Elephas maximus indicus: one gene and its partner. The protein of the gene in region 1 interacts with the protein of each later gene in a biochemical or structural test. Links are inferred from orthologs where the notes say so. Each region holds a gene or a part of one and is shown on either strand. Other genes may lie near its edges.

What was found. The genes of interacting proteins can lie anywhere in the genome.
Region 2: the proteins of TOPBP1 (region 1) and RAD9A form a complex in vitro, tested with the Homo sapiens proteins (4 studies listed by BioGRID). The link is inferred for Elephas maximus indicus from reciprocal best matches to the Homo sapiens genes TOPBP1 and RAD9A.

The regions. Positions count from the first base shown.
Region 1 is NC_064844.1:46,132,928-46,141,147, reverse strand, and holds the start of TOPBP1 (DNA topoisomerase 2-binding protein 1), read right to left. Parts: upstream 3,248-8,220; 5' UTR 3,065-3,247; intron 3,002-3,064; exon of another isoform or gene 2,202-3,001; intron 2,086-2,201; exon of another isoform or gene 2,081-2,085; 5' UTR 2,079-2,080; coding exon 1,995-2,078; intron 1-1,994. UniProt on the Homo sapiens protein: Scaffold protein that acts as a key protein-protein adapter in DNA replication and DNA repair. Composed of multiple BRCT domains, which specifically recognize and bind phosphorylated proteins, bringing proteins together into functional combinations.
Region 2 is NC_064825.1:130,422,541-130,430,105, reverse strand, and holds the start of RAD9A (cell cycle checkpoint control protein RAD9A), read right to left. Parts: upstream 3,059-7,565; 5' UTR 2,957-3,058; coding exon 2,923-2,956; intron 2,852-2,922; coding exon 2,781-2,851; intron 2,775-2,780; exon of another isoform or gene 2,653-2,774; intron 1,964-2,652; coding exon 1,835-1,963; intron 1,520-1,834; coding exon 1,405-1,519; intron 1,320-1,404; coding exon 1,220-1,319; intron 1-1,219. UniProt on the Homo sapiens protein: Component of the 9-1-1 cell-cycle checkpoint response complex that plays a major role in DNA repair. The 9-1-1 complex is recruited to DNA lesion upon damage by the RAD17-replication factor C (RFC) clamp loader complex.

The sequences.
Region 1 (8,220 bases):
CTCTGGTTTATTTTATTAAAAAAAAAATAATAATATTGGTATTATATGTATATATATGTGTGTTTACAGATGCATGTGTATATTTACATTCATATGTATATATATTCATAGTGTCTCCCCTATAAGAACAAAAGTTTCATGATCTATCTTGTTTGCCACTTTATCCTGGAACCTAGTAAATACTCAAATATTTCATGAACAAATTCTGAAATGTCTATGTCCTGAATTTTGAAGTCTCTATGTCCTTAAGGAGCCCTGGCAGCACAGCAGTTACAACCCTGGCTGCTAACCAAAAGGCCAGCGGTTGGAATCCACCAGCCACTCCCTGGAAATCCTATGGGGCAGTTCTACTCTGTCCTATAGGGTCACTATGAGTCGGAATAGACTCAACAGCAATGGGTTTGATTTTTTTGTATGTCCTTAAAGTGATCCTTTTAAAGCAATGTCAGATCAAAAACTCCTTTATTAAAACCCACCACTGGCTCTGTACTTCACTTAGAGGCAAAAACCAAAGTCCTTACAATAACCCATAAGACCCTAAATGATTTCTTCACCCTTACTTTCTGAAGTATCCTTTCATACTCTCCCACACTCCTTGTACACTCTACACTAACTTTCTCGCTAGTCCTTGGACAGACAATCCACGGACTTTCCCATGGGCCTGTGAACTGGTTATTCCATCTGCCTGGAACCTTCTTCCCCAGAGAGCCCAGTGGCTCCTTCAAGTTTACTCAAATATCACCTCCTTCAAGTTTACTCAAATATCATCTTCTCCACAAAGCCTACCCTGATCTTACTCTATTTAAAACTGTAACCTCCCCTTCCTCCTGGCAACATCCTCCAGAACCCCTTAACATGCTGTGCTTTTTTCTCTTCCCATATCACTGAGAACCTTATAGCACACTATATAGTTTATTCATATGAGTTTACTGATTAAAGTCTATTTCCCCCTGCTAGAACGTAAGCTCTGAAAAAGCAGGGCTCTTTGTCTGCTCAGGTAACTGATACATGTATCCCAAGTACCTATCAGATCATGAACCAAAAAAAAAACCCAGTGCCGTCAAGTCGATTCCGACTCATAGCGACCCTATAGGACAGAGTAGAACTGCCCCACAGAGTTTCCAAGGAGCGCCTGGCAGATTCGAACTGCCGACCCTTTGGTTAGCAGCTGTAGCACTGAACCACTACGCCACCAGGGTTTCCAATCAGATCATGAGCACTCAATAAATATTTGATGAATGAACTTTAAGGAAAAACCTGCTACAATACTCCTGAAATTTTAATGTGCACAAGAATCACACTGGGGATCTTGTTAAAATGCAGATCCTAATTGGTAACTTTAAGACAGGCCCTGAGAATATACATTTTCTAACAAACTCCCAAGCCATACTGATGTTGTTGAGGTCTGTGAGTAGCAAGGCTCTACACCACCTCTTAAAAAAAAAAACAAAACAAAACCCAAACCCATTGCTGTCAATTCTGACTCATAATAACCCTACAGGACACAGCACAACTGTCCCATAGGGTTTTCAAGGAGTAGCTGGTAGATGTGAACTGCCAACCTTCTGGTTAGGAGCCGAACTCTTAACCACTGTACCTGGACCCTCCATATTATACCGCACATAATGAAACATACTTTTAACACTTAACCAAACAAGTGCTGATGTGTGATCAGTACACAAATGACTCAAATTTATTCACACACAAAGAACCACTGTGGTTAGTAAACAAAAGAAAGCAACTTAATTTCCAAGAACTGCAGGTCAGCCACATCCAACAGAAATGTTATGTGTTTCAAAGACCCCAAATACACAATAATAACATACATACTTAAAACAATTCAAAAACATGTAATGATGCTATATCTATATTAATGTAAAACCATTATGAAGATAAAGTATCTATGGCTAAGACATAAAAAGCCTAATTTTAAAAAACACTAAAAAGAAGAAAACGAACTTACAGCATCAAACCACATTTTCAACTATTCTTACCTCCAGGGCTTTGAAAAAACATTCAGAATTGTCTGGAGACTTTAAAAACTTCACAAAGAACGGTTCTTTGTCATTTCCGGACATGTCTGAACTGTCAAAATAAAAGGATCATTAACGAGAAAAAAACATACCACATATATTTAGTTAAAATTTTAAAGCACCCATTTTTCTGTGCAGGCAAGAATGTCTAAGGATAGGCATTCTGACCTTAACATGAACTCGTCCTGCACGTTTGTAAGAAATGCTAGAATGTCAGCAAAATCCAAGACAAGGATGACAACATCAAACCGTACAAATCAGAGACGGAAGCTAATGTCCCTAAATTGAAGGCCATGAGGGCCCCTGCACCGGGGGCTTTACGGTAAGTCACATCGGCAAATGGACGTTCAATTGCCCGGTGCCTAAGGATAAGCACTTCTGTGCCTGCGGAATCCACGGCCCTCGAGGACTGTCCACCTCTCAGCAAACGGATTTTAAACGTAAACACGGAAGCCAGCTAGCGAGGTCGTGCCCCGCAAAGGGCCGCCTCTCCCCGCCTCCCGGTCCCCAACGACAGGCCCGGCCGTGGGTTCGGCCGCAAAGCAGAGGGCCGCCTCTCCCCGCCTCCCGGTCCCCAACAACAGGCCCGGCCGTGGGTCCGGCCGCAGAGCAGAGGGCCGCCTCTCCCCGCCTCCCGGTCCCCAACGACAGGCCCGGCCGTGGGTCCGGCCGCAGAGCAGAGGGCCGCCTCTCCCCGCCTCCCGGTCCCCAACGACAGGCCCGGCCGTGGGTCCGGCCGCAGAGCAGAGGGCCGCCTCTCCCCGCCTCCCGGTCCCCAACGACAGGCCCGGCCGTGGGTCCGGCCGCAGAGCAGAGGGCCGCCTCTCCCCGCCTCCCGGTCCCCAGGGACAGGCCCGGCCGTGGGTCCGGCCGCACAGGCTCGTCCCCTCCGGCCGCAGAGGCCCGCCCGCCGGTCGGAGGGCCGGTTGGAAGGGCGGGAAGCCAGGGCCCGGAAGGCAGGCCAGCGGCGGCGCTGCGGCCCCTAGTTGGGGCGGAGAAAGAACCGGGTCTTCATCCCGCGACTCACTCACCTTGGTGGAGCCCGGGAGCCTCCGGCTGGCGAGTTGGGGGGCGCGCGGCCGGCAGGACGACGGCGGGGGTCGGGCGCCAGCCCGGCGCAGACCCGCCCCAGCCGGCGGCGCCCCCAGCCCGGGGGAATCGCAGGACAACCCGGAAGTGGCCGAGGACGGGAACCGACTTTCGCGCCAACGGCGCGGGCCCCTCGCCTCTTCCGGCGGAAGTGATGCCGCCTCATCACGCAGAGGGGCGGGCGATGCAAACGCCTAGGTGGGCTGGGCCGGCTGTTTGGCCCTCGAGCCGTGGGATGGGGAGTTCTTTAAGAGATTGGGGCGGATCCCCAGGGGTTTGGGACTTTCAGGGCTGGCCTGGGCTCCCCTGGGAGCTAGCGGACCCCTGACGATCCAGGGCGCGGGGCTCCAGGCCAGTAGTGTTCCTTTAGTGGTGAAAGTAAAACCCGAGGGAAGGAGGCTTTCCCCTGTCTCCATGAGCCGGAATTCCCTGGATGGCGACGAGGAGCACCTTGTGCCTGGCAGTGCTCTAGAAACGATACATTATCATCCAGAACAGCTCTGTGAGGCAGATAGTGGTATGTCCATCATACAGATGGAAGAACTGAGTCTTAAAGAAGTGGTGTATCCTAGGTAGCGTATTAAGTGGTAAGATAAAGACTGAATCCCCGTCTTTGTGACTCCAGGTCTTTTCCCTCCAAAAGAGCAGGAATGTAAATCACCGCCTATCACAGCCTGGGGCTCTGAAGGGAGGAAAGATGTCAGGATGACTTGGGTCGCACAGCTAACGCAGAGGGCTCTTTGCAAAGATTTTCAGTGGTCCCTGCTCCCCTTCGAAGGGCATCTCACTTTCGTTCTCTGCACTTGCCTGAGTTTTGGGGATGAAAACTAACGTTCAAATGGCAAACAGTACGGACGGGATTAAAATGGGCCTGCTTTATCTCAAAACCAAAACCAAACCCACTGCTGTTGAGTCGTTTCTGACCCATGGTGACCCTGTTGGACAGAATAGAACTGCCCCATAGGGTTTCTTTGGCTGCAATCTTTATGGGAGCAAATTGTAAGTCTTTCCTCCAGGGGAGTTGCTGGTGGGTTTGAACTGCTGTCCTTTCGGTTAGCAGTACAGTGCTTTAACCACTGAGCCACAAGGCTTTTGGAGAATCTTAGCTGGTTGAAAATCAGTGATAAACTACTTAGTTCGTTCTTTTTATTTTATCCTTGATTGTTGAGACTGAGAAGATCTTGACTTAGAATAAAGTAATGTGAGAGTTTCATTTCATCTACCTTGGTTATATTTTTCTTTTTAGAGCCTAAAGATGGCAATGAGGAGCTTGGGTCTAAGTGTATGAATATACCAGCAGAAGGTGAGTCAGGACCAGTAGCATTGGGCCTCAAAGACCATTGTTGGGGAGAGGGTGACCAAAGCCTTAAAAACAAAAATTACTAAAAAGCAAAACAAATATTACTAAAGCTGGAGGAAAAACAGAAGCCACTGCTAATTGTTCCAGTGCAAACCTGTCATGAAGCTGTCATGATAATTAATATGTGGCAAGTACTTTACACTTGACAGAGGACTCCTCTCCTACTTGCACTATCCTCATTTCCTCTTCTCAGGCATCCTATAGTCCGAACTCACTGCTGTGGAGTCAATTCCAAATCACACAACCTATAGGCAGAGTAGAACTGTACCATAGGATTTCCAAGGCTGTAATCTTTAAGAAACAGACTGTCATCTTTATCCTGCAGAGTGGCTGATGGGTTCAAACTGCCTATTTTTGGGTTAGTGGCTGAGCTCTGGTGGCGCAGGGGTTAAGAGCTCCTTCGTCCTATACCCAACCCAGTGCCATTGAGTTGATTCCGACTCATAGCGACCCTATGGGACAGAGTAGAACTGCCCCATAGAGTTTCCAAGGTTAGACTCCAGAAAACCAAACTAGCTGCCATTGACTCATAGTGACCCTATGAGACAGACCAGAACTGCTCCATAAGGTTTCCAAGGAGTGGCTGGTAGATTCAAACTGCCAACCTTTTGGTTAGCAGCAGTAAGCTCGCCATAGTTTAAGTATGTGGGTATTATTGTCCCGTGTTATGTAGATGGGGAAATTGAGGCTCAGAGACTGTGTGGCTAGCCTAGGGCCGCACAGCCAGGAAGTAGGCTGGAGAACAAGCAGAGTGGCTGGACACTGCACACTGCTTCTGGCTACATGCTGCCTGCTCACTCAGCATGAAGGTCACCAGCAGGGCAGGAGCCCCCGTTCCTGGTGCGTATGGGGCTGAGTGCAGGCCTCACAGAGGAGATTCACTAATAACATGCTGCTAATGAAGAAGAGGAAACCCTGGTGACAAGGTGGTTAAGTGTGATGGCTGCTAACCAAAAGGTCAGCAGTTCGAATCCAGCAGGTGCTCCTTAGAAACTCTATGGGGCAGTTCTACTCTATCCTGTAGAGTCACTATGATTCAGAAATGACTCGACAACAACGGCTCAATGGCTTTAATGAAGAAAAGGAAAACAAAATGCCTTTTAGCTTTACAAAAAAAACAAATAAAAACACCCAGTTGTCCTCGAGTTTATTCTGACTCATGGTGACCCCAACTATGTCAGAGAACTGTGCTCTATAGCATTTTCAATGGCTGATGTTCAGAAGTATGTCGCCATGCCAGTCTGGACTCTTACTTCCAACATAGCAGAGCGGTTAACTGTAACACTAAGGCATTACTAAAGGAATGGGCAGAGAGGGTCTTTATCTGTCCCTGAAGCCCCTAATCTTGGGCAATAGATAAGAGTGGTGGTTCTCAAAATGTGGTCTGGACCAGCAACTTCATCATCATGTAGTAACTTGTTAGAAATGCAAATTGTTAGGCCTTACACTAGAACTACTGTGTCAGGAACTCGGGGGGTGGGACCCATCAGTCTGTTTTAACAAGCCCATCAGGTGATTCTGAGGCACATTAAAGCTTACTTAAACAGCCATTCTTTCAGGGAGGATGAAAGTATTTATATGGGTTTGTGCTCCATGAGGAGCCCAAGTAACACAGTGGTTAAAGTGCTTGGCTGCTAACCAAAAGGTCTGCAGTTCGAGCCCACCAACCTCCCCGAGAGAGGAAAATGTGGCAGGTCTGCTTCTGTGAAGATTAACAGCCTTGGAAGCCCTGTGGGAGCACTTCTGCTCTGTCCTATAGGGTCATTGTTTGTCAGAATCGACTCCATGGCAGCGAGTTGGGTTTCGTTTGGATGCACTATGAAGATTTTTGTGAGAATGGGGATTGGTTATGATGCGCCCTCAAGCAACTGTCTCAGAAGCTGGGGCTTGAGGGTTAACTTTCCCCTCATCTCCCTGGCACTGCTTGCTTTCAGGGAAGCAGGCCACATGTTGGAAATGGCAGAGTCTCCCTCAGCCTGAATCCCTCAATGACTGAGTTGAGATGTGGAGGGGAGCCTGTCTCCCACCTCAACCAATCATTGCCACTATTGCCAATTGGGCTTTATGTTATCAAGACAGTATCTTCTACTGTGCTGCCACTGTTATTGCAGCTAGTATCACCCTCACCAATTCTGAAATTGGCAACAGTTTAAACAAACATTTTTCGACTGAAAAATCTGTCTTTATTATTATAAGGGCCCTCGGAAAGGAAAGTATGAAAATGTTCCAGAGAAAAATGCCAGAGTCCACATGGGAAAGTACATGGACTGTGGAAGCAGGCTGCCTGGTTTGAATGTCAGCTCTAACATGAACTAGCTCTCTGAGGTTGGGCAAGTTGTTTAACCCTTTGGTGACCCAATTATTTTCTGCTTGGATTTTTTTGTTGATACCATGTGTTTTTATTAATGGAAGCATTCTGAATCATTGACTGTATCTGAATTTTTGTAGGTAGTATGGATTTTTTTTCTTGTCCCCTCCCACAAGTCTACCCTAAGTGTTCAGTGGTACGTATGAAGTCCCACTAGTTATACCCCAGAGTCCCCACCCAGACCTATGGGTACATATATGTAACAAATAAAAACTTTCAAAATTTCTATTTTTCCTATCAAAAATTCAGGCACCTTCTACAATACCCTGTAAAAACAGTAATTTGCAGCACACACCCATTTGTTTGGTTTCAAACAGTCATAAAGGTCCCTGCCTTGCAGCAGCACACACTGTCAATGATACAGCAGCTTCCCAGTAAATCCCAGGGGCTGAAAAAGTTCATGGTTGCTGTATATACTGCTAGGCCTGAAAGAATTAACCTGTGTGTGCTTTACTTTCTTCTGTGAACCAAACCGATGGGGATGATAATAGCGTCTCCTTCATGAGGTCACTAAATTAGTGTTTGCAAAGCACTTAGCAAAGTGCCTGGTACGAGGTTTTGATACATTTAAAATTTCCTAATTTTCCAAAGGCCATCCTTGCCATGGAGTCTTTAATTGTTCCCCACAATATAATGCTCCAGTCTTCTATTCTGGAACTTGTGAGAGCATGTGCCAAAACAGGCAATGGCATTATGACTTTGGATGTCCTTCCATTGAAATATGACTTTGTGCATAGGAAGTTATCAGAGTCTGTGCTACTCCGGGTCAGAGGGCCCCCTGAGCTTTATTGAATTTGGGCTGTGTTAGCTTTTGATCAATCATTAACCTTAAGAGAAATGGTCATCTTTGGACTGTCTTTGTTTTTTGTCCACAGGTCTAAAGAGAAGATTGTTCAACCACCTTCTGAGACATTTGGTTCTGTGCATTTATTCATCCATTTTGATAATTTTTTTGTTGTCAGACCAGTAAGCCTGGTCTTTGTATGTGCTTTATATGAAGGTTTACAGAGCAAATTAATTTCTCATTAAACAATTAATATACATATTGTTTTGTGACATTGGTTGCCAACCCCACAAAGTGTCAACATTCTCCCCTTCTCAACCTTGGGTTCCCCTTTTCCATTGTCCAGCTTTCCTGACCTCTCTTGCGTTCTCTTCCTTGCCCCTAGGTTGGTGTACCCATTTAGTCTAATATACATGGTTGAGCTATGTGTATTATTGTTTGTTTCATGGGATTGTCTAATCTTTGGCTAAAGGGTGAACTTTAGGAATGACTTCAGTACTGAGTTAAAAGGGTGTCTTGGGGGCCATACTCTTGGGGTATCTCCAGTCTCTGTCAGACCAGTAAATCTAGTCTTTTTTTTGGTGAG
Region 2 (7,565 bases), on another chromosome or scaffold:
CATCTAAGGAGAACTACACCTGGGCCAGGCCAGCACCCTGGGAAGGAGAGGGCAGGATGAGCAGGCCTGGTCCTTCCCTGCCACAGCCCAAGTCCACTGAAAGCAGGACGGGGTCGGGGGGGTGGGGGGCGGCGGGACAGACAAAGGCCCACACAGGGCGGGCAGCACCAGCATACAGGATGGGAGAGGGCTCTCCCGCGGGGAAGGAAGAATGGGGTCCGGAGGTGGGAAGCCACACCCATACCGTCCCAACCAACCGGCCTTCAGAAAGAGCCCCTCCCTAACTTCTTGTCTTTGACCAATACGTGTGATAAATGAAATAACACCTGGAGTCCGCCTCAGAACAACGGGACACAAGCTGGGGGTGATGGTACAAGGAGTCAGCATACTATGTTCTACTTTTTTACGTGTTTCAGACTGTCCATAAGACAAATGTTCATTAAAAGGAGTGATTTAAATTGTCACAAAACTCAGACCAAAAGGGACGGCCTTCCCCCTTTCTCTATCCAAAGGAGCCCTGAGCGGAGCTCTCTCGACAGAACTCAGGGAAACAGACTCTCAGACCCAAAGGGAACCTCACACAACCATGTCCTAAGGCTACCAAGAGAATGAATGGGAACTCGGCCACTTGGATGCAAGCAGTGCCCAGGGGCCACTCCTCTCTGAGGTGGTACTTGTCAGGGACCCCTGCCTTCCCTGGCATCCCCACCTCCCTCACCCTGCAGTGCCCAGAATACTCCACTCTCCTGGACCACAACCTCCCCGTCTGGCCTTCTGCCTGGGCCTGGGGACTCCACGAGCCAGCGCCAGGGCAGGCGATAGTCAGTGCCCACGCTGAAAGGGGGAAGACCCCCAAAGTACGACTGGGCCCTGCAGGGAGCTGAAACCCTGAGCCACCAAGGTTAGGGATGGCCCTTCAGCTGCTCAGGCTAGAGAAAGTGACTGCTAGAAGAGACATCAGGCTAGGTCTGAGGCTCCCAGAGAGCCAAGTCAGGCCTGAGGTGTGGAAAACACAGGGGTGTAGAAATAGTAAGGAAATGGAGGAAGGGACACCCATGCACCCCCTTTGCTCAGCCCCTACCTTCGAAGAGTCAGACAAGGGCTGGAGAGCACACAGGGCTGGGATCCACAGAAACCCTTTACGGAAATGGAGAAGGTGCCTCTCAAAGAATCCAGATGGGGGACTGTGCTCGAGGTGAGGGGGAGGGGGTGTGCTCACTTGGCCGGGGCACGGAGCACATGGGGGCATGAAGCTGGGTCGAAGACGGCCTGTAGGGACTCGCAGTCCTGGAAGGACAGGTTGTGAATCTTCCTCACCCCTGTGTGGGCAGACAGGGTCTCAGGGGGGCTTCTCAACCCCCCATGCCACACCCCAGGGCCCCCGAGTCGGCACTGCCCACTCACCATACTTGCAGTGCAGCTGGACCACTAGGCGGCTGCTCCTGCCATTCAGGGAGATGTAGCACTTCTCCACTGTCTTCTCCAGCAATGCCAGCGAGCGAAAGACTGACAGGAACGACTAAGGGGAAACGTAAGCCAGCGCTATGCCTCCAGCTTGTGAGCCCCAGCCCAGCCCATCAGCCAGGACAGGGACCGCCACAATGTGCGTATGTTCACACGCGTCCAGGCCTTGGTTCTGGCTGTTCGCCCTGTCTGGAGTGGCCCCACCCTGCAGGCTCACTTGGATTCCCCATCAGTCTGCTGCTGTTCCATATGCCCCCACTACTCTCCGAGAAGGTCTTTACTGAGCCCCTTTCTCTACCCCGTTAGCAGCTACTGAGTGCCCAGAGTGGAGGCCCTGCAGGTGGGGGTTCCTACCAAGAGGGGGCCTCACCTTCATCAGGATCTTACAGCGCACGGGTTCCTGGGCTTGGGTGGCTGCCTGGTACTGCTGGAAGAAGAGCGGGGCGAAGAGGAAGCAGGCATAGGCAGAGCGGGAAGAGTTCACCGTCCGGAGGGAGAGCTGGGCCAGGTGAAGCAGGGTGAGGGGGACGGGGGACAAGGTCAGGGGCAGTGACAGGCTGGCCCCATGGCCTGCCTCTGCTTACAGAACTGCCCTGATGTCCTCCACCACCACCACCCCCGCCGCCAAACCAACCAAACCTACTGCTGTGGAGTCAATGCCAACTCATGGCAACCCCATATGTTACAGTGTTTTCTTGGCTGTAACCTTTACAGAGGGAGATTGCCAGGCCTTTCTTCCTTGGTACCACTGGGTGGGTCTGAACTGCCAACCTTTAGATTAATTGTTGTTGTGATGTTGTTATGTGCCATCGAGTTGATTCTGACTCACAGAGCAGAACTGCCCCATATAGGGTTTCCAAGGAGCTGCTGGTGGATTGGAACTTCCAACCTTTCAGTTAGCAGCCCAGCTCTTACGCATTGCACCACCAGGGCTCCTCAAGCGCAAACCATTTGCACCACCCAGGAACCTACCACCTCCACCATCACCTGTTAGATCTTCCCTCTCCTTCAAGGACAGTCTCAATGGGTCCTTCCTTGGGAAGCCTTCCCTGACCCTTTCTCGACCCTGCTCCCACCTTCAGCGCTGTCCCCACACTCTGCCTTTCTCCCTGCTTATCTCTAAGGCTAAGTCGCCCCCAACCCGTCACCGGCCACTCCAGGGAGGGCAGCTGCTCTCCGCTCACACACCAGGCTGGGAGGTTGACAGGGCCCAAGACGAGCTCCAGCAATGGGGCCGAAACTGAAAGAGCTGACAAGCCCACCCGCGGCCACCGTGCCCGGGGAGGCGGGATCCTCCCCACGCCCCAGCCCCTCACCCCGTCCTCCAGGGGCTCCAGGTAGAGCTCGTCTCCGATGCGGGACAGGGAGTGGACCGCCTTGCCAAGCACTGCAGGAGAGCAGAGAAGGGTTAGGTAGGTGTCTTGGCCTGTCCTACGTGTCCCCGCCGCCCAGACTCACCCTTTACGTTGCCGCCTGTCACCAGACACTTCATGCTGCCCCAGTACCGCACCGGGCTGATCCTGCAAACCCACCCGCGGAGCCCCCGCAACCGGCCCGGCTCGGGGCCCCCCCGCCTCCACGGAAGCCTGGGCGCCCTTCCAGCCGCCGCCCCGCCGGCCCCGCCCCCGCTGCCTCATTGGCCTGCGAGCGCGCGCCGCCGTCACGTGAGAAACGCTCCCGGCCCCTCCGTCACGTGACGCAGCCGTTCTCAGGCGCAGGCCCCTATCACGTGGGCCGGAGCGCGGCGGCGCTTGCGGTGCTCGCTCCTTGTAGCCCTCCCGGCCCCTCCGTGCCGTTGGGTGCTAGGCCACTTGGCGGGGCGCACGAGCGCGGGGACACTGCTCCAGGGCGGGAGGTGCATGGCGCAGTGGAGCGAGCCCCGGGCTCGCAGGCCAGAGCCCGGGGACGAGCCCGCCGGGGCCCTTATTTAGTACAGACTTTCGGGCGTGTCTGGGGATACTGGGTGGAAAGCAGACCGTCCGCACCCAGTATGGGCTGAGGACTCGGACACACGCAGCAACCACCACCTCTCAAAAGATGTTAACGCGACGCGCTGCAGGAGCCAGGGGTGGGCGGTGGCTGCTCATTCTGGTTTCAAGGGGTGGCACCTCATTGATTCAGGAAGAGAAAAGATTCTCCTGACAAAGGGGTAGAAGAGCAAGAGCGAAGCGCGTGGGGATTGGCACCGGGGAGAGGGAAGGGGCGCCACCAGACGATGAGGCCGCTGCTGGGAAACACAGGAAAAGGTTGACGAGGGTAGAGTCGTGGTTTTGAGACTATTTTTTTAAAACCCAGCATTGTGCGAAAGGAGGCGTTCATCAGCCGGAGGTCCTCCCCTTGCCCTGCACCTCAGTCCCACGTGTATGGAGTGGAAGGCAGGCCAGGGTGGGAGCCCTGACCTCTAGCTCCCGGCAGCACCGAAGTTTGGCCGTTCGAAGGGTCTTCTGCTTCCCTTTAGGGTCAGCCAGTGCTTGCCCCCCTTGGCCCTGTCTGTAGGGACGCGGCTCTTTTGTCTCCTGGCGCTGCACTTCTGCACCCGCTCTCCTTGCCCTCAGCTCCCCTGCCTCACCAGCCCTCACCCCCTCCCTAGAGCAACGGGGCAGGAGATTGTAATTCCCTTTCTCCTTCCCGGGGATCAGTGTCAATGACACTACCTCCACCTGGGCATACAGGCCAGTAAACGGAGTCCCTGTGGACACCACCCTCTTCCCAGATGCGCCAATCCTGCAGCAAGTCTTGACAGTCCTAGCTCCCAATCAGATGGCAAATTTGCCCCCCTCCCCTGCCCCGGTTCTGTCCCTGCTGCCACCGTCCTGGTTTGGGCCACCATCCACTCTCCCTGGATGGCTGTTAACAGCTGAGTGGTCTTCTGCCTCCACACTGTCCCCCGCCCCCATCCACCCTCCATACAGCAGTTAAAGTGACCTTTCTAAAATGTCCATGGAATCATGCCACTCCCTGTTTAGATCCTGCAGTGGTTGCCAACTACTATACTTAGCGTAAGATCCCAAATCCTTACCCAGCCTGTAGGAGCCGGCCCAGCATCTCTCCACCTATCTCCTGCCTTTCTCTCAGTCACCCTGCCTTGCCCCACAGGCCCTGTTGGTTCTCTGAAAGGGCCACATCCTTTTCCCCTCGGGATCTTTGCACGTGTGTTTTGGTCATAGCAGTTATCACAAGTCTTGTACATGTGTTTACTTATTTAACGTCTGTCTTCCTCACTAGTACATGAGCTCCACAAGGGCAGGGACCTTGTCGGTTTTGTTCATTGCTGTTGCCCTGTCTCTCACACAGGGCCTCAGTGGATGGTCAGGAAATAGGTGTTAGTGAATATGCCATCCAGATAAAATGGCGCTGCCTGTGAGTTGCCCTTAGCATGGTGCTAGGGTAAAAGCAGCAGGCCAACCTGACCTGCCTAATTCTTCTCTTCCCATCTCCACTCTCTAGCAACAAAACAAAACCCAGCACCAGCTATTCTCTTTCTTACCACCCCCTCCCCCCACCCCTAAGGTAAATCGGCACAGCCTCAGGGCTTCTCCACCTCCACCCTGTTACCACTGAAGACCTATTACCTGGAGTAGGAGAGCATCCCAGTGCTCCTGTCTGGAAGGCCAAAGAGGGGACAGCTGTGGATATTCCCATGGTCAGGTTAATTTCCCTGACCCCTGTGGGTCTGTAGGGCCCTGTGGCCTTGGGGTTTTGCATCAAGGCCCAAGGGAGAGAGAAACACAAGCTCTCTAGGGCTGTTTTTTTAAATAATTAATTTTTGTTGTTGAACACACCAACAATTTCTCCATTTACAATCTAGTGGCATTGATTACCTTCTCTGTAGGACTCTTTAATGAGTCTTCATTCACCCTCCCCCCAAAGTCAGGAATCACTGGAAAGCTCTCAAGGACATGGAGCTAGGCACCAGGAGGCTGGGTCTCTGTCTGGGCTTCAGCGCTGATTTGCTGTGTGACTTTGTGCAAGTCCTTCCCCGTCTCTGGAGCTGTTCCCTCGTCTAGTCAAGGTGATGACGGAGCGCTGCTGGCACAACGGTTAAGCACTGGGCTACTAACCAAAAGGTCAGCAGTTCAGACCCACAGCCTCTCCAGGGAGAAGGATGTGGCAGTCTGCTTCTGTAAAGACTGCAGCCTCGGAAACCCTATGGGGCAGTTCTACTCTGTCGTGGAGGGTCACTGTGAGTCGGAATCCACAGCATCAGGTTTATGATGTGTTTGATGCGGGGTGAGATGCCCTCGGAGACCCTTCCAACCCTGACACACTGAGGTTCCCTGTGCCCCTCATCTGTCCACAGCACTGGAGAGGAGCTGCCATTGGCTAGTCTCACCAAACTAATGTAGCTATTACCATTAAGCTGCACAACAGGAAAAGAAGGGGGGGGGGCAAAATGGCAAATAAAGCATTTTATATAATTTATAACTACAACAGCAGCCAAAACAAAACGGGGGAGGGGAGCTGTGCCTGTTGATGCTATCCACTGCCATAGACTTGGTTCTGACTTAACAATCCTGTAGGACAGAGTGGAACTGCCCCATAGGGTTTCCAAGGGTGTAAATCTTTACAGAAGCGGGCTACACATCTTTCTCACACGGAGCAGCTGGTGGGTTCAAACTGCTGACGTTTCGGTTAGCAGCCAAGTGCTTAACCTTGCTGAGGGTTCCTTCCTGTTGATACTACTTAGGTACAATGAAAAACTTCATTAATTCTCTTGGTTCAAAAGTTTCGGGTGGTGGCTTTGTGGGTCCATCCAGTCAATTGGCCTAACATTGTTTTCAGAGTTTCTGTTCCACCTCCTAATTTGGTGAGTAGCACCTAGGGTCTTAAAAGCTTGTAAGCAGCCACCCAGAATACCACAATCGGTCCCTATTTGCCTGAAACAACAGAAAAGAAAGGAGATTCAGGAATAGGAAAAGGAAATGGACTGCAGGTTTAACTGTCTCCATCAACTACTACCTCTGTTACCATGAGACCAGGAGAAGTGAATGGTGCCTGGCTACCGTTACTGAACATTTTGATCAAGGACTCAACAGCTGGATCCTGATCAAAAGGGGGGAATGTGGAACAGTCCTCTCCCGTGCTGGAAGGCTACGGAGCCTCTCTAGGCTTGCACTTGCCAGAGGCAATGAAGCATTGCAGGTCCAGAGGGAGGAGGGCACAGAGAGGGATGAGAGACATGGAGCGACCAGGGCCCCTTTGAGAGCAAGGGGAGGGCTGGGCAGGGGACGGGTATAGGGACCCAAAGTGGATGTCGGGTCTGCACTGGAAGACGGGAAGCCTGTGGGTGGGAGCTCCAGCCCTACTCTGGGCCTCAGTTTCCTCAAAATGAAGGGCTGCATGAGATGCTCTCTTAGGACTCTTTAAAACCCAAAGTTTGTATACTCTTTGCCACCCCTACGTTAGAGGTGGCCACCTATCAGTAGGTAAGTGGGAGGGGGGAGCCGTGGTAGACACTAATGGAGGAAGGTGACAGTAGTTACTATTTCAAGCTTTTAAAGTAATTATCTGTTGGGAAATTTCTTCCCTTCAACCACCACTTCTTAAAGCCACCGCCCAACTAGTTAGGTTTGAAGTCACAGCAATCACCACTGCTGGGGATGTTAACAACAACAAACCCCACTGCCGTCGAGTCGATTCTGACTCATAGAGACCCTATTGGATAGAGTAGAAACTGCCCCATAGAGTTTCCAAGGAATGCCTGGTGGATTTGAACTGCCGACCTTTTGGTTAGCAGCCGTAGCCCTTAACCACTATGCCACCAGTGTTCCCGATGGGGACGTTGGAACTCAGTAATTCATTCATTCCATGCGTGTTTCGTGCACTTTTCTAAGCACAGGAAATAGAGTACAGAATAGAAAATCCTGCTCTCAAGTGGCTTCTACTGAGTGGAGAAAGAAAGACAACCAAAGACACAAATAAATGTATGTTGTTGTTGTTGTTGTTAGGTGCCCTCGAGTTGGTTCTGACTCACAGTGACAACAAAACAAAGCACTACCTGGTCCTGCACCACGCTCCCAATTGTTGTTATGCTTGAGCCCATTGTTGCAACCACTGTCAGCCCTTCTTGTTGAGGGTCTTCCTTTTCTTCGCTGACCCTC